Macaca mulatta: one gene and its partners. The protein of the gene in region 6 interacts with the protein of the main gene of each other region in a pairwise test. Links are inferred from orthologs where the notes say so. Each region holds a gene or a part of one and is shown on either strand. Other genes may lie near its edges. The genes, in order: PSMC6, PTPN4, DPPA4, PPFIBP2, USP53 and CRK.

The links.
Region 1: the proteins of CRK (region 6) and PSMC6 interact in binary tests that used the Homo sapiens proteins (3 or more experiments, as listed by UniProt). The two-hybrid records come from large-scale screens. The link is inferred for Macaca mulatta from reciprocal best matches to the Homo sapiens genes CRK and PSMC6.
Region 2: the proteins of CRK (region 6) and PTPN4 interact in binary tests that used the Homo sapiens proteins (3 or more experiments, as listed by UniProt). The link is inferred for Macaca mulatta from reciprocal best matches to the Homo sapiens genes CRK and PTPN4.
Region 3: the proteins of CRK (region 6) and DPPA4 interact in binary tests that used the Homo sapiens proteins (3 or more experiments, as listed by UniProt). The two-hybrid records come from large-scale screens. The link is inferred for Macaca mulatta from reciprocal best matches to the Homo sapiens genes CRK and DPPA4.
Region 4: the proteins of CRK (region 6) and PPFIBP2 interact in binary tests that used the Homo sapiens proteins (3 or more experiments, as listed by UniProt). The link is inferred for Macaca mulatta from reciprocal best matches to the Homo sapiens genes CRK and PPFIBP2.
Region 5: the proteins of CRK (region 6) and USP53 interact in binary tests that used the Homo sapiens proteins (3 or more experiments, as listed by UniProt). The two-hybrid records come from large-scale screens. The link is inferred for Macaca mulatta from reciprocal best matches to the Homo sapiens genes CRK and USP53.

Annotation. Positions count from the first base shown.
Region 1 is NC_133412.1:125,843,038-125,846,640, forward strand, and holds part of PSMC6 (26S proteasome regulatory subunit 10B), read left to right. Parts: intron 1-15; coding exon 16-77; intron 78-1,872; coding exon 1,873-1,993; intron 1,994-2,121; coding exon 2,122-2,202; intron 2,203-3,603. UniProt on the Homo sapiens protein: Component of the 26S proteasome, a multiprotein complex involved in the ATP-dependent degradation of ubiquitinated proteins.
Region 2 is NC_133417.1:17,732,722-17,736,938, reverse strand, and holds the start of PTPN4 (tyrosine-protein phosphatase non-receptor type 4), read left to right. Parts: upstream 1-1,412; 5' UTR 1,413-1,504; intron 1,505-4,217. UniProt on the Homo sapiens protein: Phosphatase that plays a role in immunity, learning, synaptic plasticity or cell homeostasis. Regulates neuronal cell homeostasis by protecting neurons against apoptosis.
Region 3 is NC_133407.1:174,306,173-174,309,775, forward strand, and holds part of DPPA4 (developmental pluripotency-associated protein 4), read left to right. Parts: intron 1-439; coding exon 440-560; intron 561-2,810; coding exon 2,811-2,971; intron 2,972-3,057; coding exon 3,058-3,108; intron 3,109-3,603. UniProt on the Homo sapiens protein: May be involved in the maintenance of active epigenetic status of target genes. May inhibit differentiation of embryonic cells into a primitive ectoderm lineage.
Region 4 is NC_133419.1:57,938,814-57,942,416, reverse strand, and holds part of PPFIBP2 (liprin-beta-2), read left to right. Parts: intron 1-3,322; coding exon 3,323-3,461; intron 3,462-3,603. UniProt on the Homo sapiens protein: May regulate the disassembly of focal adhesions. Did not bind receptor-like tyrosine phosphatases type 2A.
Region 5 is NC_133410.1:128,294,111-128,297,713, forward strand, and holds part of USP53 (ubiquitin carboxyl-terminal hydrolase 53), read left to right. Parts: coding exon 1-196; intron 197-1,798; coding exon 1,799-1,875; intron 1,876-3,603. UniProt on the Homo sapiens protein: Deubiquitinase that mediates 'Lys-63'-linked deubiquitination of tight junction proteins, such as MARVELD2 and LSR, and which is involved in the survival of auditory hair cells and hearing.
Region 6 is NC_133421.1:3,001,092-3,005,366, forward strand, and holds the start of CRK (adapter molecule crk), read right to left. Parts: upstream 2,859-4,275; 5' UTR 2,744-2,858; coding exon 2,503-2,743; intron 1-2,502. UniProt on the Homo sapiens protein: Involved in cell branching and adhesion mediated by BCAR1-CRK-RAPGEF1 signaling and activation of RAP1.

The DNA of each region.
Region 1 (3,603 bases), on a different chromosome or scaffold from region 6:
ACTCTACTATTTTAGGTGGTCGTCGGTTTTCTGAGGGTACTTCAGCTGACAGAGAGATTCAGAGAACGTTAATGGAGGTAATATTTAGTAAAGGGGGTTTATAAAGAAACCAGTGTTTATTAAATGAAGAACTGAACATTGCATATTTGATAGTCAAAATATATAGAACATTTTAAATGAAATATAAAATTTGAAAATATTGTCAGGAACGAACATGTTTCTCTATCACAAACTCTAAGAAAATGACTACTAGAAAATAAGGCTATCTGCCAAATTCCATTTGGTATATACCTGTACTATTCTGTGTGTTTTGAGCAGATCAGTCATTCATATATTTAAATTGATTCTTATGAATGTGATCTTGTGGTAGTTTTATGAAGACATTTTATGTAATGGTCATATTAAGACCGTTGGCAATAAATGAGCTATAATTATGTATGCAGCTGCTCTAAAAATTATTTTTTCTCTCACTTTATTGCTGAGACTGAGGCAATTAAAATAGTTGTGATAATTGAAGAGGATAGTTGACACAATGAAAGAATGCACATAAAGCTTTCCCCCAGTTTTACCTTTCCCCACTCCAAATTCTGTGAAAGTGATAACAAGAGTCCAAATACATTTGCCACTTCAAATAGAAACTAGGTAGCATGGGAAATGCAGTGTCCATTCTTTCTTCTTAGGAGTATTTGAAAAATCTCTTTTCATAAATTATACAGATCTGCTCAGAAGATACATAGTATTTGGAAATTATAAAATATCTTAGAAACCTTAAATTGAGATATTTTTAAATGACACAAATACTAATTTTATTCAAGTAACTAAATATATCATCAACTAACACATTGTCAGACTAGCTATATTTTAGTTTGTTAAATGCAGTAAGGTTTTTCATTTATTCAAGAAAACTTTAGAAATTGAGATAATATTTTTTATGTCTTTCAATATTTCTGTGTACAGAATTATTTGAAAAAATAGACCAGACATGGTAACTTCTGCCTGTAATCCCAGCACTTTGGGAGGCCCAGATGGGCAGATCATGAGGTCTGGGCATCAGGACCAGCCTGGCCAATGTAGTGTCTCTACTAAAGATACAAAAATTAGCTGGGCGTGGTGGCACGTGCCTGTAATCCCAGTTATTCAGGAGGCTGAGGCAGGAGAATTGCTTGAACAAAGAGGCAGAGGTTGCAGTGAGCTGAGATCGCCCCATTGCATTCCAGCCTGGGCAACAGAGCAAGAATCTGTCTCAAAACAAAAAACAAAAAACAAAAAAAAACAGTCCCTCAGCTACTCAGGAGGTTGAGGTGGGAGGACTGGTTGAGCCCAGGAGGCGGAGGTTGCAGTGAGCAATGATCAGGCCACTATACTCCAGCCTGGGTGACAGAGTGAAACTCTGTCTCAAAAAAAAAAAATTATGGGTTTACTATCAAATTTGTAGAAAAATCTTTGTATCCAGTTATCCTAATATAAATGTTGTATCTGACATATCATAAGCACTTTATATATTGGATTTTATTATTAGCTTTTATTTTTAAAAAAATTGATAAAATTTTGGACATTGGAAATTAGATCCACATAGTTTAATTTCATAATTCTTGACATGATGGAAGCCTTCAGATTTATTAAAACTACCTGGTAGCTATAGAAAGATACATAGCTATTAAAAGGCACATAATCTAGCTTAGAACTTTGAGGCTAGAAAGTATATCCCTTTATATAATAGAGAGAAAATTAGAATTCTATCAAATGACCATTCTGAAGATAGAACATATCTATCAGTAGACAATACATTTCATGGCATTAGATATATAAAAGGTGCATGCTATTTTTTTAATGGTTAGAATGTTTGTACAATCTGATTCTTAATATTCTTAGTTACTGAATCAAATGGATGGATTTGATACTCTGCATAGAGTTAAAATGATCATGGCTACAAACAGACCAGATACACTGGATCCTGCTTTGCTGCGTCCAGGAAGATTAGATAGAAAAATACGTGAGTTAAGGTTCTTCACCTACTACCTATTTCCCTTTGTGCCCATTTGTTTTTCCGTGCTTCACTTCACCTTCCACTGTATTTTATAAAAGATAAAACTGGACTATAAAATAATTTTTTATTTTCAGATATTGATTTGCCAAATGAACAAGCAAGGTTAGACATACTGAAAATCCACGCAGGTCCCATTACAAAGCATGGTGAAATAGGTAAGGAAGTCATCTATTTTATATGTATTTATATTTGGTAAATGAAGAAAAATACTGTTAGAAATTACTGATAGTTTCCTAAATCTGGTTTTAAATTCAGCAAATAGTTATTGAGCATCTACTCTATGCTAGGAACCATTGTAAGTGTTTTGTAAGGGCTGACGATATATCAAGGAACAAAACAGACAAATTTCTGCCATTAGATAACTTACATTCTTGTTAGGAAAAAACAGATAAAGTTAGTAAAACAAAGTATAATAGATGATGGTAAGTGCTATGGAGAAAAATAAAGCAAGAAAGTGGGGGGTGGGCATGGTGGCTCACTCCTGTAATCCTAATGCTTTGGGAGGCCAAGGCAGAAGGATCACTTGAGGCCAGGAGTTTGAAGCTGCAGGGAGCTATGATCATGTGACTGCACTCCAGTTTGGCAAGACCCTGTTTCAGGGGAAAAAAAAAAGAAAAGGGGGATAGGAAATTAGGGAAGTGCCAGGAGCAGGCATGAGGATATACATTTTTAAACGACAGGGAGGATTAGCATAGGGAAGGACTGACCAAGAAGGTAATTTTTTAGAGATAGGGTCTCACTCTTGCCCAGGCTGGAGTGCAGTGGTGTGATCCCAGCTCACTGCAACTTCTGCCTCCCAAGCTCAAATGATCCTCACACCTCACCCTCCTGATTAGCTGGGACTGCAGGCACACACCACCAACCCTGGCTTGTTTTTTTGTAGGGAAGGGGTTTCACCATGTTGCCCAGGCTGATCTTGAACTACTGGGCTCAAGCAATCTGCCCACCTCGGCCACCCAAAGTTCTGGGATAACAGGCATGTGCGTCTGTACCCGGCCTGGTTTTTTTGGTTTGGTTTTTTGTTGTTGTTGTTTTGTTTTAAATTTATTCCTGTTAAATGCTGACAATAGGTCAGATAAAGAGTTCTCAGAGTAGACCTTTGGATTTAACTATGTGGAGGTAATTGATAATCTTGTCAAAAGTAGCTTCTTGGGAGTGGTGGAGGTGAAAGCCTATTTCAGATGGGTTTCAGAGAGATTGAGAAGAGAGGCATTGAGTTTAGACATTTCTTTTTTAAGAGTTCCACAGAGGAGGCCGGGCGCGGTGGCTCACGCCTGTAATCCCAGCACTTTGGGAGGCCGAGGCGGGCGGATCACAAGGTCAGGAGATCGAGACCACGGTGAAACCCCGTCTCTACTAAAAATACAAAAAATTAGCCGGGCACAGTTGTGGGCGCCTGTAGTCCCAGCTAGCTACTCGGGAGGCTGAGGCAGGAGAATGGCGTGAACCCGGGAGGCGGAGCTTGCAGTGAGCCGAGATCGCGCCACTGCACTCCAGCCTGGGCGACAGAGCAAGACTCTGTCTCAAAAAAAAAAAAAAAAAAGAGTTCCACAGAG
Region 2 (4,217 bases), on a different chromosome or scaffold from region 6:
AGTGAGTCAATATAAATTTCTATCTTGTCCAGATTTGTTCAAATTCCCTTGATTTGTAGTCATTTTGTCGGCTTGGGGGGAAAGTGGTTTTGGAAAGATCGTCTTTATAAAGGTAGGCTCTGATAGGATGCTCAAGCTAAGAGCAAGGAAGGACAAAGAAGGCACCTGGAGACAGAAAAGGGCACTAATAAAAAATTGGGCAAAAAGGAAGTGTGGCGGTCCCCAAATCCCTTCTTCCTCCATTTCAGCTGAGATCACCCGCAGGCAACTGTCCTATTACCAATAAGTTTGTATGACCAATAAAATATTATGCACCTAGCTAAAAACCCTGGCGTGATAACACCAAATTCATGTTATTGGAATGAACTAAATTTTAAAAAGCACACCGTTCAGGCACACAGAAGGCACCCCCGAACGTTTGTTTTATAAACGAAGGTTGGTTGCTGAGGCTTTGTTTTGGAGCCTATGTTTAGGAGAGGAAATGATTCAAAACTGCCCCCCAAAACTTATATCCTTTAGGAGCACTGAGGTTGGGGCGACCTGCTGCCAAGCGGTCTGGTTTTCCCTTTTAACACTGGCTTCTTGTCCCACTATCCGGTCCCTCAGGTCAGTGGGTGCAGCAGGGGTCGCAGCCCAAGCAACCAATCGCGATGCGGCTGCGGGGCGGGGGCCACAGCGCTCCGCCTCCCCCTCCAATCCGCGCTCCAATCCGCCCTCCCAATCCTGCTAGGCCGTCCTCTCTCGCACCTGCGTGTCCCTTCGCGCTCCGACTGGAGCGACTTCTCATCCCTGCGCTGGCGGGGCAGGCTTTTAGCCTCGCTTCTCGCGAGATCGCCTCCTGCTGCTGCCGCCGCCGCTCCCGGCCGCTGACTGGCGGCGCCTGCGCAGCCGCCATGTTCGGTTGCTATGCTGCGGCCTGGGAGAGGGGGTGTGCTTGAGGGAGGAGGAAGAGATAGCGGAGGAGGAGGGGGAGGAAGGGGAGGTGGAGAAGGAGGGGGGTGACTGAGCTCCTCTTGCACTCTCACACACAAACGCTGCCCAGGATTACCCGCCAGCTCACGCCGTGCAGCGCGCTTTTCCGCTCCTCGCGCCCCACCAGCAACATTGTTCTCTCAGGACTCCTGGGTTCCAGGGGCCGGAATTGGGCCTGAGCCGGAGAGGAAAGAGACTTGGCTTTGGCCGAGGGGTCGGAGGATTGGGGCCAGGCCCCCCTCCCCCACGCACTTTTGGGGGTGTGGATTATCTCATCCCCGCAGGGAGGTAGGAGAGGTCGCCGGCTGCCCGCCTCCCTGCCACCTCCCTGGCGACGCCGGCCCGCGGCTGCCCAGCAGCATGAGGTGGTGCTGGCGGCTCCGGGTCGTGGCGCGACCGCTGCGGCGGCGGCTGCTCGGGGGGCGCTGAGGTAGCCCCCCGGAGCGGCACGGCGGACGCGCTTCTCCCCTGCGCGCCGGGGCCTCGAGGCTTTTTTTCTCCAGCCGAGAGGACGCGGCTGTGATATACGAAGGTAAGAGGTTCTCCGGTCCCCGCCGGCCTCTCGGCCCTGCACGCTGAACGCGAGGCTCTTACCTGCATGTGTGGCTCCTGGGAGGTGAGCCAGGTAGAGCAAGCCTGAGGTACGAGGATGATTTAAAAGGAAGGGAAAAAAAAATGCCTTATTTCCTTTCTTCCCGGGACCTCTGCTCTTGCGGGGGTTATAGTTGGAATCTCTGTTATGGGTCAGAGAAGGGACAAGGGATGGAATAGGTGCGGAGATGGAATGTTCCCCAGTACCTAAACTCTAGGTAAAGCTTTGGAATCTTGAGTTTTCCATTGCTGGTAGAATTCCTTTTTTTTTTTTTTTCTTAAATTGGCTCATATGAGCGCTTTTTGCACGTTGCATGAGCCAACTCTTCCTACCATTGAAGTTTTAAGCCTGTTATGATTCTATCAGTCTATACCTGTATTTGGGAATCTGTAGTTCAGCTAAAAAAAAAAAAAAAAAAAAAAAAAGTTGTAGGTAAATAATGATGCATTTCGCAGGGTTTCCATAAAATGGAACAGCTTACAGTTGCACAGGTGATGTGTGGATGTTTCTGCAAAACTTGGGGTGGAAGATTTTATGTCTGGGCTTGCATCATGTAGTGACATCAGTATGTACAAGGACGATTTGTAGGATTTTTCAGAACGCTTGTTCTAGGGTAACTTGTTATACATCTGCAGTATGCCAGCTGCTTTTCGAATAAGAGGTTTCAGTAATACTAAGTTTCTGTGTCCAGATCTTGGGCCCAGTTGAAAGAGTACAGCGGATTGGTCACATTTAAAACGTATTTATGGAGAAAGATAAAAACAAAAGGCCAATGTGTCCGACTTGCAAAAGGCAATTAGAGTAGAAAGAAGATTGGAATAGTAAAAACCAGGGCATTTTAAAATCTTGGTTTTCTGAACTTGAACGTGCCAGAGGAAAAAAATTTTTTTTCAATTTTAAGGGGGAAGGAGATGGCCTTAAAATAAAGTATTGTTCAGAGCCTAAAGTGTGCTTAATGGAATAGAGCTAGATATATCATTTAAATCTTAGATTTGATTAATATAAATTCAGCTTTCTTTTAAAGAAAAAACTCCTAAGCAAAAGTTTGTGTATTGTACAGAACCTCTTCACTAGCTCATGAATGTGATCATTTTGTGGACATCACCATTTTTTGTCAGAATAAATTTATGCTCCAGTTACCACAAAAGCAATTTTTATGTCTCTTCGCATTTTTTATGGTACACATATCTTTGTTACATTTTGCATTGAAACACGCACGGTCCCATAATATGATCTTGAGTGATTTATAAGAGAAACAGTCCTTTTTGTACATGGGAATGTTTGTGATTTTGCTAGTCTGTTTTAAAAATTTGGCAAGAGGTTTTTAAAATCCAAGGAGGCATCACTATTTTGTAGTTTTTAAAAATATTAATTGAGTAGGTCCACGTTTATTAAGTTAGAAAATCACAGGTTCCTCAAAAGTAGTAATAGATGAGGATGGGATTTTCTTACTGCCCGTTTTGTAACGTCTTAGCTTCAGAGCTGTAGGTATTGAATTGAGTCAAACTTGTGTTTTTTTCTTATGTTCTAATTAAATATCTTTTAAAATGTCCCTGGTAACATTGTTACTTTAAATTTATAACACCCAATTTCTAATTTAGGCTAGGCATAAAACCAGCATTGATTGAACATACTTGCTAAAAATACTTTCTGGGTCGGATGTACTTAGAATGCAGCCTCAGGAAATTTCATTTGAACTATTCTGTGACCAGGGTACACTTCATTATTGTTGAAGGACTTTAAAAAAAATTATAGATCTCTCATACTCGATTTAATCAGTTTGGGCATAGATGCCTAACTTTTAAAAAAAGTATAATAAAGTGAGATAGTAATACAGTTTATGTGAGATGGTAATAAAAACTTTTCAGCTTTTTTTTTTTAACTTATATGACTTCGTTAGATTGTTATTAAAGTGTGATTTGTGTTTTTAAAATAGTATTGTTTTTTAAACATAATTGAGTTGTACAGTATCCATTGTTATCTGTTTAGTATTTATTTATGACTTACAAACTCTAAAAGTGGGATCAGTGATCATGGTTTTTAGTAAGTTGTCTTTAAGGAGCAAAGTAAGAGACTAGCAGAGAATTGCAAGGAGGTCTGTTATCGAGAGTACTTTTGCCTCCGCTTGAGAGTTAATATGGCCACTTTTAAACAAGAAAACTTTTCTAAAAATATGTGGAAATCTTGTTTGGTGTATGTTTAAGGGCAAATGTTTAAAAATTCTGCCTAAATTCTTAGAATGCAAAATTGATCAACTCACTAGGAATGGTTGCTGTGGCTAGGAGTGGTTATTGTGGCTAAATATGAATTGTTGCTCCTATATAAAATTTAGCTATTGGTAGAAGTTTACGAACTGAGTTGAATTTTGTTGTTTTTCTCGGTTATTGCATGTTATGAAGTTTTTTATGTACCACAGTCCAGATGTGTTAAATTTGCCAGTTTACTAGAATAAGCTCTGAAGCCTTGAGTTTGGCTTAGCATTCCGAACATCCTTTTTATTGTTTGCCAGAAAAGTACTGTAGGAAGGAGGTGTTGTTCTCTCTTCATTTAACATTTAATTAGTAGTACAGACGGTGAGATAGGGTATAATGTAGAAATACCATAGAATCATCTTTATTGATATGAAAGTACCATTGTCTAGGAACAGCATAAT
Region 3 (3,603 bases), on a different chromosome or scaffold from region 6:
TTTTGAGACAGTCTCATTCTGTCACCCAGGTTGGAGTGCAGCGATGCAGCCTCTACCTACCTCCCTGGCTCAAGTGATTCTCCTACCTCAGTCTCTTGAGTAGCTCGGGCTACAGGCATGTACCACCATGCTCAGCTAATCTTGTTTCCTTTTTGTAGAGGCAAGGTTTCACTTGTTGTTGCTCAGGCTGGTATCCAACTACTGGACTCAAGCGATCCTCTTGCCTTGTCCTCCTAAAGCACTTGGATTACAGGCGTGAGCCACAACGCCTGGCCTGCATGACAGTGTGTATTAAGATGATACCCAGAGGAGAATCCACACTGCCAGTGGAGTCCAGTGACTGCCTTGGTGCCTTAGAAGTGAGTTATCTTGAGGCAGGTAGTGTATGTGTGGTTTGGACACTGGAGGAATGACTGACCAGCTCCTCTGTTCCCAGTAGACCTCCACAGAGAAGTCGAGGGAAGAGGATCAGCAAACTTCTAATCAACCAAACATGATTGCTTTGCCAGGAACATCAGCAAAGGGAACCAAAGAAAAAAAGTCTGTCAAAGGCAATAAAGGTAAGAGGTCTTCAAATCCTCAAATTCCACTTTCTCAGGTCTTAGAAGCCAGAGGAATTTTTCTGAAGAAGAAAAGCCAGGGAAGAAATTTCCGTCATATATTTTGCAAATCCTACAGTTCATGGGAGTCTAGCTTAAACTGCACCTTCCTGAAGCATCTTTTGGTCACCATTGCCCTAACCGATCCCTTCCTATCTTCAGACTTCCACAGCATATTTGGTTCTGTTGATCATTTTTTCCTTCACTTGCTACTTGGAGTTAAGAATTTCAATGTGCAATGATTTGGGAACAGACAGCTGTAAATTTGAAGACCCATTCTTGAAACCGGACTACCTATTCTAAAAATAAGTTTGAACAATATCTACCTTTATTCGGGTGTGGGAATGGAGTGTTAAAATTTACATAGAATAATTAAGTGAAGTACTTACACTATGCCTAAGAAGTAATGGCCGGGCGCGGTGGCTCAAGCCTGTAATCCCAGCACTTTGGGAGGCCGAGACGGGCGGATCACGAGGTCAGGAGATCGAGACCATCCTGGCTAACACAGTGAAACCCCGTCTCTACTAAAAAATACAAAAAAAAAAAAACTAGCCGGGCGAGGTGGCGGGCAACTGTAGTCCCAGCTACTCGGGAGGCTGAGGCAGGAGAATGGCGTAAACCCGGGAGGCGGAGCTTGCAATGGGCCGAGATCCGGCCACTGCGCTCCAGCCTGGGCGACAGAGCAAGACTCTGTCTCAAAAAAAAAAAAAAAAAAAGAAGTAATATGTACACAGTAAACCCTACTAACTCTAAGTGTCATTACAGGCTGTGTCTTTTTTTTTGAGACACCAAGACAGGGTGTTGGTCTGTCATCCAGGCTAGAGTGTGGTGGCACCATCTCAGTTCCCTGCAACCTCTGCCTCCCTGGTTCAAGCGATTGTCCTGTCTTAGCCTCCCAAGTTAGCTAGGATTGCAGGCGTGTGCCACCATGCCTGGCTGATTTTTGTATTTTTAGTAGAGACGGGATTTTACCATATTGGCCAGGCTGGTTGTGAACTCTTGGCCTCAAGTGACCCATCTGCCTTGGCCTCCTAAAGTGCTGGGATTACAGGTGTAAGCCACCAGACCCAGCCTTAGACATTTTTTTGGCATGATCCTGGCCCACTAAAACCTCTGCCTCCCGGATTCAAACAGTTATCCAGCCTCAGCCTCCCAAGTAACTGAGATTACAGGCATGTGCCATCATGCCCAGCGAATTTTTTTTTTTTTTTTAGTAGAGACAGCATTTCACCATGTTGGCCATGCTGGTCTCAAACTCCTGACCTCAGGTTATCCCCCCACCTCGGCCTCCCAAAGTGCTGGGATTACAGTGTGAGCCACTGTGCCTAGCCAAATATCTTTACTGAATGAAGACAAGGTATGTGAGGTGCAGAAGCAGGATGAACAGAAACACAGCTCAGCTAAGGAAGCATACCTGCTATGAAACCAGAGTGCTGCCCTGACTAGGGTGGGCTGGCAGAATTAGGAATATTAGTGGTTGCCTGTGTAGTATTGTCAGGTGTTGAGTTTGCTCTGTGTGTAGAGGACACCACTGAGTATGATCTCAAGTCTAAGACAGCGGTAATTCCCCTCGGGTGGAAGTGCCATCTCTGGTGCCACCACCTGGGTTCTGTGGATTAAGGGGTTCACAAAGGTATGATCTCAAGTCTAAGACAGTGATAATTCCCCTGGGATGGAAGTGGCATCTCCGGTGCCACCACCTGGGTTCTGTGGACTAAAGGGTTCACAAAGGAGCACGTGTACCTGAGTAGTGGGGAGATTGAGGAATAAAACTGGGATTTAGAAGTGGTAAGTCCTAGGTTTGAGAGGGATTGAACTATTAATAACTAAAACTGATTTTAGGCCGGGCGCGGTGGCTTAGGCCTGTAATCCTAGCACTTTGGGAGGCCTAGGTGGGCAGATCACAAGTTCAGGAGTTCGAGACCAGCTTGGCCAACATGGTGAAACTTCACCTCCACTAAAAATAGAAAAAAAATTAGCCGGGCGTGGTGGTGGGCATCTGTAATCCCAGCTTCTCAGGAGGCTGAGGCAGGAGAATCGCTTGAACCCAGGAGGCGGAGGTTACAGGGAGCCAAGATTGCGCCACTGCGCTCCAGCCGGGCGACAAAGCAAGACTCTCAGAAAAAAAAAAAAAAACAGTGATTTTACTTTTGAAATTCTGAAAAGGTACACAAAGTTAATTACTACTAATTTGATTCCATTCTCCTTCAGTGCTCTGTCCTAAGAAGAAGGCAGAGTGCAGTGACAACCCCAGACCTCAGAGGAAGATACCAATCCCTCCATTACCCTCTAAACTGCCACCTGTTAATCTGATTCACCGGGACATTCTGCGGGCCTGGTGCCAACAATTGAAGCTGAGCTCCAAAGGCCAGGTGAGGGCCTAGGCTGGGGATGGTACTGCTGGGAGGAAGGGTAGGAACCTTACTTGCCTTACTAACTCAGTTTTCTGTTGTCTTAGAAATTGGATGCATATAAGCGCCTGTGTGCCTTTGCCTACCCAAATCAAAAGGTAACTTTTTAAAGGATGTACGTTTCAGTGCTTATCCTAATTACCTATTGTAGCCTCAAAAGTGAGTAAAGGAGCTGTCTTAGCCTCCGCTTGTCCCTCCACCCCTAGTTCTAAGAAAGAACAGTATTTTCCATGCCTGCTTTCCTTTTTTTTTTTTTGAGATGGAGTCTCACACTGTCACCCAGACTGGAGTGCTGTGGCACCATCTCAGCTCACTGCAACCTCCACCTCCCGAATTCAAGCAATTCTCCTGCCTCAGCCTCCTAAGTAGCTGAGATTACAAGCACCCGCCACCACGCCCAGCTAATTTTTTGTATTTTTAGTAGAGGTGGGGTTTCACTATTTTGGTCAGGCTGGTCTTGAACTCCTGACCTCGTGGTCTGCCCACCTCGGCCTCCCAAGGTGCTGGGATTACAGGTGTGAGCCACCGTGCCTGGCCTTCCATCCCTACTTCTCACCAAGTCTGCAAAGAATAATAAAAATGAGGCAGCCCAG
Region 4 (3,603 bases), on a different chromosome or scaffold from region 6:
ATGTTGTATCTTTGTTCTCATTGGTTTCAAAGAACATCTTTATTTCTGCCTTCATTGGGTTATGTACCCAGTAGTCATTCAGGAGCAGGTTGTTCAGTTTCCATGTAGTTGGGCGGTTTTGATTGAGTTTCTTAGTCCTGAGTTCTAGTTTGATTGCACTGTGGTCTGAGAGACAGTTTGTTATAATTTCTGTTCTTGTACATTTGCTGAGGAGTGCTTTACTTCCAATTACGTGGTCGATTTTGGAGTAAGTACGATGTGGTGCTGAGAAGAATGTATATTCTGTTGATTTGAGGTGGAGAGTTCTATAGATGTCTATTAGGTCTGCTTGCTGCAGAGATGAGTTCAATTCCTGGATATCCTTGTTAACTTTCTGTCTCGTTGATCTGTCGAATGTTGACAGTGGAGTGTTGAAGTCTCCCATTATTATTGTATGGGAGTCTAAGTCTCTTTGTAAGTCTCTAAGGACTTGCTTTATGAATCTGGGTGCTCCTGTATTGGGTGCATATATATTTAGGATAGTTAGCTCTTCCTGTTGAATTGATCCCTTTACCATTATGTAATGGCCTTCTTTGTCTCTTTTGATCTTTGATGGTTTAAAGTCTGTTTTATCAGAGACTAGTATTGCAACCCCTGCTTTTTTTTGTTCTCCATTTGCTTGGTAAATCTTCCTCCATCCCTTTATTTTGAGCCTATGTATGTCTCTCCGTGTGAGATTGGTCTCCTGAATACAGCAGACTGATGGGTCTTGACTCTTTATCCAGTTTGCCAGTCTATGTCTTTTAATTGGAGCATTTAGTCCATTTACATTTAAGGTTAAGATTGTTATGTGTGAACTTGATCCTGCCATTATGATATTAACTGGTTATTTTGCTCGTTAGTTGATGTAGTTTCTTCCTAGCCTCAATGGTCTTTACATTTTGGCATGTTTTTGCAATGGCTGGTACCGGTTGTTCCTTTCCATGTTTAGTGCTTCCTTCAGGGTCTCTTGTAAGGCAGGCCTAGTGGTGACAAAATCTCTAAGCATTTGCTTATCTGTAAAGGATTTTATTTCTCCTTCAGTTATGAAACTTAGTTTGGCTGGATATGAAATTCTGGGTTGAAAATTCTTTTCTTTAAGAATGTTGAATATTGGCCCCCACTCTCTTCTGGCTTGGAGAGTTTCTGCCGAGAGATCTGCTGTTAGTCTGATGGGCTTCCCTTTGTGGGTAACCCGACCTTTCTCTCTGGCTGCCCTTAACATTTTTTCCTTCATTTCAACTTTGGTGAATCTGGCAATTATGTGTCTTGGAGTTGCTCTTCTCGAGGAGTATCTTTGTGGCGTTCTCTGTATTTCCTGGATTTGAATGTTGGCCTGCCCTACTAGGTTGGGGAAGTTCTCCTGGATGATATCCTGAAGAGTGTTTTCCAACTTGGTTCCATTTTCCCCCTCACTTTCAGGCACCCCAATCAGACGTAGATTTGGTCTTTTTACATAATCCCATACTTCTTGCAGGCTTTGTTCATTTCTTTTTCTTCTTTTTTCTTTTGGTTTCTCTTCTCGCTTCATTTCATTCATTTGATCCTCAATCGCAGATACTCTTTCTTCCAGTTGATCGAGTCGGTTACTGAAGCTTGTGCATTTGTCACGTATTTCTCGTGTCATGGTTTTCATCTCTTTCATTTCGTTTATGACCTTCTCTGCATTAATTACTCTAGCCATCAATTCTTCCACTTTTTTTTCAAGATTTTTAGTTTCTTTGCGCTGGGTACGTAATTCCTCCTTTAGCTCTGAGAAATTTGATGGACTGAAGCCTTCTTCTCTCATCTCGTCAAAGTCATTCTCCGTCCAGCTTTGATCCGTTGCTGGCGATGAGCTGCGCTCCTTTGCCGGGGGAGATGCGCTCTTATTTTTGGAATTTCCAGCTTTTCTGCCCTGCTTTTTCCCCATCTTTGTGGTTTTATCTGCCTCTGGTCTTTGATGATGGTGATGTACTGATGGGGTTTTGGTGTAGGTGTCCTTCCTGTTTGATAGTTTTCCTTCTAACAGTCAGGACCCTCAGCTGTAGGTCTGTTGGAGATTGCTTGAGGTCCACTCCAGACCCTGTTTGCCTGGGTATCAGCAGCAGAGGCTGCAGAAGATAGAATATTTCTGAACAGCGAGTGTACCTGTCTGATTCTTGCTTTGGAAGCTTCCTCTCAGGGGTGTACTCCACCCTGTAAGGTGTGGGGTTTCAGACTGCCCCTAGTGGGGGATGTCTCCCAGTTAGGCTACTCAGGGGTCAGGGACCCACTTGAGCAGGGAGTCCCTTCTCAGATCTCAACCTCCGTGTTGGGAGATCCACTGCTCTCTTCAAAGCTGTCAGACAGAGTCGTTTGCGTCTGCAGAGGTTTCGGCTGTGTTTGTTATTGCCCTGTCCCCAGAGGTGGAGTCTACAGAGACAGGCAGGTTTCCTTGAGCTGCTGTGAGCTCCACCCAGTTCGAGCTTCCCAGCAGCTTTGTTTACCTACTTAAGCCTCAGCAATGGCGGGCGCCCCTCCCCCAGCCTAGCTGCTGCCTTGCCGGTAGATCACAGACTGCTGTGCTAGCAATGAGGGAGGCTCCGTGGGTGTGGGACCCTCCCGGCCAGGTGTGGGATATGATCTCCTGGTGTGCCTGTTTGCTTAAAGCGCAGTATTGGGGTGGGAGTTACCTGATTTTCCAGGTGTTGTGTGTCTCAGTTCCCCTGGCTAGGAAAAGGGATTCCCTTCCCCCTTGTGCTTCCCAGGTGAGGCAATGCCTCGCCCTGCTTCAGCTCTCGCTGGTCGGGCTGCAGCAGCTGACCAGCACCGATCGTCCGGCACTCCCCAGTGAGATGAACCCAGTACCTCAGTTGAAAATGCAGAAATCACCGGTCTTCTGTGTCGCTCACGCTGGGAGTTGGAGACTGGAGCTGTTCCTATTCGGCCATCTTGCTCCGCCCCCTAGAATGCCAATTTTCATATCCAAAGAGCTTGCAGAGTCATTCATGGCTGTTAATTCACTGGGTCTCTGAGCACTAGGCCAGACAGCAAAGGCCCCTTTGCAAGACAACTTCACTTCCTATTAGAGGCAGTTGCAGTCAGCCCCAGATTTGCACTTGACTCTGTCCCTGTCTTACTGTGTGGCCTTGGAAAAGTTTCTTCCTTCCTTGGAACTCTGGTCCCTTTTCTCAGACTAGCTAAATAATCTTTGAGGGGTCTTCAAGTCACCATATGTGAAAAATGTCTCTTAGAAAACAGGGAGTTGTTCTGTATCCAAGGATTTCCTAACTGAGGCTGACAGCTAAGTCGATATCTCTCTTTTTCTCTCACCTTCCAATAGGACAGCCCTTTCTTGGCAGAGCACAAATATCCCACTTTACCTGGGAAGCTTTCGGGACCCACGCCCAATGGAGAGGCTGCCAAATCTCCTCCCACTGTCTGCCAGCCTGACGCCACGGGGAGCAGCCTGCTGAGGCTGAGTGAGTGTCCAGTCCTGGTGCTGGTGGCCTCTGAGCAGCATCCTTGGCACTTTCCGTGATTGTATAAGATCCCTGCACCTACCACCACAATCCACAGTTGGAGAATGGTGGGGTGGGTGGCTGGAACAAGTTGTACCTTGGG
Region 5 (3,603 bases), on a different chromosome or scaffold from region 6:
GAAAAGGAGCAGACAAAAATAAAGGCCTTGTAGAGGGTAAAGTGCATGGTGATAATTGGCAGATGCAAAGGACTGAGTCTGGATATGAAAGCAGTGATCACATCAGTAATGGATCTACTAATTTGGACTCACCTGTTATCGATGGAAATGGTACAGTAATGGATATCAGTGCTGTTAAAGAAACAGTATGCTTCAGGTAATGTAAAAGTTGAGTGAATCATTTTTCCATCACTGTTCTTTCTTGTTAATTGCATGAAGTAATTGTCGAAGTTTGGGGTCAATTAAATAGGATGGAAACAGCATGAGCTGTTTTAAAGAGCTTTAAAAAGTTTGCTTCTTCTAAACACAAGTATGTTTCTGTAAAGAAACCTAGGATATTGCAGTTTATTTGATATTTTAGATTTCTATTTTTAATAGTTATTTCCTGATTCCAAAAATAGCAGCTTTTTATTTTTAGAAAATTTGGAAAGTACTGAAGTTTATTATCATTGTTGTGTCACTGTCAACAATTGACTGGTTTTAAAGCACAGACTTCAATTGGTATCATCTCAGTCATTAAATTGGTTGTTTAATTCTTCTTTTTTTGTCTTGAGGGGAAGGAGTCTCGCTCTGTCGCCCAGGCTGGAGTGCAGTGGTGCAATCATGGGTGACTGCAACCTCTGCCTCCTGGGTTCAAGTGATTCTCCTGCCTTAGCTTCCCAAGTAGCTGGGACTATAGGCACACACTACCATGGCTGGCTAATTTTTGTATTTTTAGAGACGGGGTTTTGCCAGGCTGCTCTCGAACTCCCAATCTCAAGTGATCCACCTGCCTTGGCCTCCCAAAGTGCTGGGATCAAAGGCCTGAGCCATTGTGCCTGGCCTGTTGTTTAATTCTTCAATGTATGTAATGTTTATAATCTCATCTCTAACATTTGTAACTCAGAACTGAAGCTAGTTTTTACTGTCACAACTCATTCTCATGGAAGATATTTTCCCTTTAGCAAATATAAAAAAATTCAATCAAATAACTTTGTGTTCAATTAATTCTAAAGACATTTATTATATTACTGTTTAATCCTTCTAACATGTGTTTGTTTGATATTAGCTGATATTTGACCACATTTGTTATTAAAAGGTAGATTTGCAAATATCAACTGCTCATGTTTTATGAAAATGCTGTTTCAATAAAGACTTAAGGAAAGGGCCAGGTGTGGTGACTCACACTTGTAATCACAGCAGTTTGGGAGGCTGAGGCAGGAGGATTGCTTGAACCCAGGAGTTCAAGACCAGCCTGAGCAACATGGAAAGATCTCATCTCTATGAAAAAGTTTTAAAATATTAGCCAGGTATGGTGGCATATGCCTGTGGTCCCAGCTACTTGGGAGGCTGAGGTGGGGGGATCTTTTGAGCCCAGGAGGTTGAGGCTGCAGTGAACCATGTTTGTACCACTGCACTGCATCCTGGGCAAAAGAGCAAAAGGTCCTGGCAAAAAAAAAAAAAAAAAAAAAAAAAAGACTTGACAAGGTAATTTTATAATTCTTCTTGGAATGGAGTAGCCTACGGTAGTAGAAAGATCAGGATTTTATAACCAGATAGACTTAGATTTTAATTATTGGGCAAATTTGTTTGACTTTTACAGTCTTTATCTTCTCTTGTAAAATAAAGATAACTACTTTTAGTATTAAATAATGTACATTAAGCCCTAGAACAACACATGGTATATAATAAATGTTTAACAAATTTTTTTTTCTTTTTTTAGAATAAACAAAGGCAATCCATAATAACTGATGTGTTTAGTGTGTATTTTATTTTCTAGTGACCAGATTAAGACAAGCAACCTAAATAAAGAATGTGGGGACTGGACCTCCCTTCAGAGCCAAAATCACTTAGAAGGTAAAAAGCTTATTTGAATATAATAGTTGCTGTAAAAAATAAATTGTAGTAATGTATTGTTTGCTATTATGATGTACCTGAGAGAAAATCCTATATGACTATAAAAATGACTATGAACATTATTTTTAAATAACCCTAAAATATCAATAAACACATTTTATGAATATATTATGTTTTAAATTATGTTTTAATCAAGTACATGTGGAAAGAAGGAAATCAGCATTCTTTTTTGTATGTATATTGTTATACAAAAGAAAGCATGCTATACTTTCCACATTGGCTTCACAAAGTGTTAATAATGGTTTTGTATCTTACTTTTTATTTGATTGGATAACTATTGCTTTTGAAGTTTGCAGCCTTTTTAATGTGCTGTTTGGATATGTCTCTGATATTAAAGATAGCATTATTATTTTTTGATTTAGATGATGAAGTCTTTCAATTTTTTTTTAGTAGCCATTTGCATTTTAAGTGTCCACATTAGGGACCCTTGAACACGTTGCTTTTCATACTTGTCCTTAAAACTGTTATTTGAGACTCAAATAGGCAGGAGTATCTGTCTATGGTGGCTTGTTAACACTTTACTTTTACTTAACAGAAGGTATATTTCTATATTTGCAAATAAAAATGTCATGTTCTGATAGCTCAGAAACTGTCTATAGACTGTTGGTCTTTCTGACTTTACCCCCTACCTTTTATGCCTATGCGAAATAGGCATAAAAAGAGAATGGTCCACTGGGGTCCATTGAGGTAAGAGTAAAGAAGATAAGAATGGTCCTGTTACTGATAAGTTTATGAGTAATGATGAGGGAAGTTGAGAGCATTCATACTTGAAGGCTTTTAAAGGATGGGAAAAGCTATGAGAAAAGGGGAAACTCTTATCAGGATAGGTAGGTTTTAGATTATGCAATGGTAGTATCTTCAAAATCTCCAGGTGTTAACTCAAGTTTGTTTCTTGCTCACAATACAAGTCCAGAGGTGGTCAGTGTAATCTCTTCTTAGGAGTCACTCAGGATCCCGGGCTAAGGGGATATGGGTGAGAAGGAGATAAAGGAAGATATATTGTGGAGAATCACCTGCCAACTCTTAAAACTTCAAACCTGAAGTGACACATGCACTTCCACTTCTGTATCATTGACCAGAGCTAGTCTTCTAACCAGGCCTGATTTCAGAGAAGGTAGAAAACTGCAGTTTTACAGGTGCTTGGAATTGAATGGAAGCATGTGTGTACAATTCTAATGACTGTCACAGTAGTTAAAAACTGATAGAAAGATTGATAAACAGCCTTCTGGAAAAGTTCCGTTTGGCAACAATAACTGTGCAATGGTGTGGAATGATTATAGGCGATTTGTTAGCAACACATAGTAGCCCAGAAGCAAAGAAAGTTAGAAATTTGAATGTATACAGGATTCAGGGTTGCTATTGGGAGTATATACCTGAAGAATTTTGGGGAGAGAAGTCAAGGAAGATGATTTGCAAAGGAATTATTATGCTGCGATCAAAGACAATGTTTTCAAATTTTATAATTCAGAGGAGTAGAAGGGATATAATTTTTCACAATATAAAAGAGCAATGAACAGCAAATTTTAATGTTTTTTAGTCTTTATTATCCTTAAGGCTTTTGTGGGGATTATTTTTCAGTTTGCAGACAAAGAATGTGATTAAATGTTAAATTATTTTGTTTTCATCAAATGGTATACTATCAGAAGGAAACACTTATATTAAGGAAAT
Region 6 (4,275 bases):
CAAACACAAACAAAAGGCTGAAAAGTGAGTTTCAATAACAGTTTGCCATCATGTTACTACATATAATGCAAAACCCCAGATACCATGCAGGTGGCATCAAAGTAGCATATATCTGGTTCAGGGCCAACACAGGTACATCAATATTCCCATCTCATAACACCATTAAACTGGCCAGAATGAGAAAGATCTACAATAATTTGTGAACTTATAGACCCCATACTCATTTTCTAAAAATAGTTATGTGTTGGGCTGGGTGTGGTGGCTCACACCTGTAATCCCAGCACTTTGGGAGGCTGAGGCGGGCGGATCACCTGAGGTCAGGAGTTCGAGACCAGCCTGGTCAACATGGTGAAACCCCATCTCTACTAAAAATACAAAAACTAGCCAGGCATGGTGGCGTGTGCCTGTAATCCCAGCTACTAGGGAGGCTGAAGCAAGAGAATCCTTTGAACCCACGACGTAGAGATTGCAGTGAGCTGAGATCACACCACTGAACTCCAGCCTGGGCAACAAAAGTGAAACTCCGCCTCAAACAAACAAAGCTGGGTGCAGTGGCTCACACCCGTAATCCCAGCACTTTGAGGGGGCAAAGGCGAGTGGATTACCTGAGGTCAGGAGTTCAAGACCCACCTGGTCAACCTGGTAAAACCCCATCTCTACTAAAAATACAAAAATTAGCTGGGCGTGGTGACAGGCACTGGTAATCCCAGCTACTTAGGAGGCTGAGGCAGGAGAATCACTTGAACCCAAAAGGCGGAGGTTGCAGTGAGCCAAGATGGCGCCACTGCACTCCAGCTTGGGTGACAGAGAGAGACTCTGTCTCAAAATAAATAAATAATAAATAAATAAATAAAATAAGAAAAAAATTGGTTATGTGTTGGCCAGGCACGGTGGCTCATACCTGTAATCCCAGCATTTTGGGAGGGTGGATCACCTGAGGTCAGGAGTTTGAGAGCAGCCTGGCCAATCTGGTGAAATCTTGTCTCCACTAGAAATACAACATTAGCTGGTTGTGGTGGTGGGTGCCTGTAATCCCAGCTACTCGGGAGACTGAGGCAGGAGAATCTTGAACCCGGGAGCCCCGGGGAGGTGGAGGTGGCCATGAGCCGAGATCGCGCTACTGAGCTCCAGCATGGGCGACAGAGCGAGACTCCGTCTCAGGAAAAAGTAAAATAAAAATTGGTATGTGTTAATAACAAAGAGACTGGCTATTCAATTCTCCATTTCTGGCCGGAACAAGTAAATCTAAATTAGAACGATCCTACAAGAGAAAGTCTACAGAGGATGGCTCAGGAGCTTCCTGATTCATAGGAGACTAGTCTGAACCCAGTCTCAGCGGCCAAGAAGAAACAGCTTCGACTTGGCAACAGTGTGAAGGCACGAGGACTCCTGATGCTGTTAAACAGGTACACATACAATGAGAACCCCAGAATTACTTCGTACCTCACAAATCTCCAGTACTAAGGGCATCTATCTATTCCCTTGAAACACTCCCAAATCAACTCCAACGGCATCGGAAAGACAGTCAATCTCAGGGATCCCTGGCAAGAAAAACCCAGCGCAGGTAATTTATGTTCTTGGCGTAGAGTCTGTTCCCACCATCCAGGAAGACTCAGCCCGCAGCCCCATCTTACTGAGCAAGGTCACGCCCTGAAGTACACACTGACAATGTGTAAGTCCAAGGAAAATGAAGCTCCAGTCACATCCAGGGAAGGGTCTGTTTCCACTGCCTCATTTCTGGTTTATTCTCTGGAATAAAATGTCTTTCCTCCACTAAACACTTTGAAAACCAGAACCCTCTACCGGCGGACAGTCTTCTGGACGCTTAGATCTCCTGCACGCAGCCAGGCATCGCCTTAAACTGGGTTGGGCTGGTCACTGAAGGCTTTCTTCTATCACTTAATTCACCACCTTCGTCCTCCACGGGGGAAGAGGACGGTACAAGGATTTTGGAAAAATGCCCAAGAAAGGAAAAAACTAACCGGTTTCCTGAGGGTGTCTCCATCCCTCCCGGCCAGTTTGTGGTGACTTCCTACCAAAGGCCACCAGGGGAGCACGGCCAAACCCGGCTCTCCAACACGGCAGGAAACGCTTCCAGCCCAAAAGCCACTTGTAGGATTATCGGATTCATTCTGGGCGCCGCTGCCAAGTGATGCCCCCGCAGTGCCAACATCTCCCTCAGCTCTTTGTCCCCACGTTGCCTTGCCCTGCCCTACCCTTGCGCCTGGCCCGGGAGCCAGCCCCACCCTGGGGCCGAAGCAGTTCCCCTTCCCCGGGGCTGCCCTTCCCAGGCACACCCCGGGGCCTCGGTCCGCGGCTCCTCCTCCCCCACACTCCTGTTCCCCGGGTGGGAATGAGCCCCAGCAGCCGGCGGGCCCCTGCCACGGTCACCCAGCCCTCTGCCCACGACCCCGAGGGTCCGCTCTCGAGGAGCAGCCAGCCGGGCTGGGAGCTCCGCGGCCCTCACCCCGCCCAGGGCCCCCCGTCCCGTCAGTCCCTCACCCGGCGGAGGTTGGGCGGGCGACGGCGGCACTGGCGGGCGCGGGCCGCTGCTGTTGATGATGTAGTGGGAGACGCGCGAGTTCTCTGAGACGCTGAGCACATAGTCCCCGGGGCTGGTGCTCGAGTCCCGCACCAGGAACACCCCGTGCCGCTGGCCCTGCAGCAGCGCCACCGCCTCCTGCCGACTCAACCGCCCCCAGTACCAGCTACTCCGCTCCTCCGAGTCGAAGTTGCCCGCCATGGCTGCCTCCGCGCCTAAACGCTGGGGTGCCGCCGCCGCGCGCGCCGCTCCGGCCCCCGGCGCCCGCCGCCCAGCGGACCGGCTCCGGTTTCAGCTTCACAGCAGCGCCCGAAATGGCGGCGGCAGCCGCGGGCCTTCCCCACCGGAAATGACGCGCTCCCTGCCCGAGGGAGGCTGCCGGGAAGGGGCCCGCGGCCCGCCATTGGGAGAAGGGCAAGGCGCCCTCGCGCGCGCACTGCGCATGCGGCCTCATGGGCGGTGCCGCCCTGCCCGGCCCGGGGATGAGGGGGATGGGAGGCGGGGTCTAGGGCCCGGGGGCGGGGCCTCGCAGCCTCCCGCAGAGACGTGCGCCTGCGCCGCCGACAGCGCGGTGCTGCTTCAGGCTCGCGTTCCCGGACGGCCCGGGACTTCTAGGCGGCGGCTCCCAGACAGGATTGCAGGAGAAAAGACGCGTGTGGCCCTGGGGCCTCAGTTCTCGGCCAGGCTTCCTGGGATATCAGTCTGTTTCTCTTTTCTTTTTCTTTTTTTGTTTTTTCAGACGGTGTGTCTGTCGCCCAGGCTGGAGTGCAGTGCCGCGATCTCGGCTCACCGCAACCTCCGCCTCCCGCGTTCAAGCGATTCTCCTGCCTCCGCCTCCCAAGTAGCTGGGATTACAGGCGAGCGCCACCACGCCTGGCTAATTTTTGTATTTTTAGTAGAGACGGGGGTTTCACCATGTTGGCCAGGCTGGTCTCGAACTCCTGACCTCGGGTGATCCACCCGCCTTGGTCTCCCAAAGTGCTGGGATTACAGGCGAGAAACATCGCTCCCGGCCATGTCGGTCTGTTTCTTCTCGTTCCTCTAGCTTCTCCACAGGCCGGCTGACGTTCTCATTTTCATTGATTCATTCAGGACATTGTTATTGACACTCCACCTGCACTGCGGGTGCAAAGGTGATGGAGGCTGGGCCCTGCACTCCTCAAACTCACACACCAGTGAGAGGAACCAGGAAACTGCATGACAAAAGGATGACAAATGCTGACAAGCGCTATCATGGGAAACGGACATGAACACAGAGCAGAGCCCCCCTCCATCCAGTCTGCGGAGTAATCCAAGAGGGCTTCCCAGAGGAGGTAGCATGTGTTGACTGCTGAATGACAAAAGGGGAAGGACATTCAAAGCAAAGGGAGCAGAGTGTGCCAAGCCACGTGAAGTACAGAGTTCTCCTCTCTTTTGAGGCTTTCGGGTCACCTTCCCAGATACTTCTAAACACTAAATTGTAGCCAGGGGCATCTCCTACTTTCACTGCCGTCATGGTCACTCTGGACTGTGTTCCTATGAGTGGCTTGCTCGCTGGTGCCCTTTCGTCTGGTTGCCTCTAATTGCACTGCAAACAGCTCCCACTGAGTTTTCTAAAATACAGATCTGGCCGGGCACGGTGGCTCACGCCTGTAATCCCAACACTTTGGGAGGCTGAGGCAGGCGGATCACCTGAGGTCAGGAGTTCTAGACCAGGCTGACCAATATGGTGAAACCGCGTCTCAACTAATACA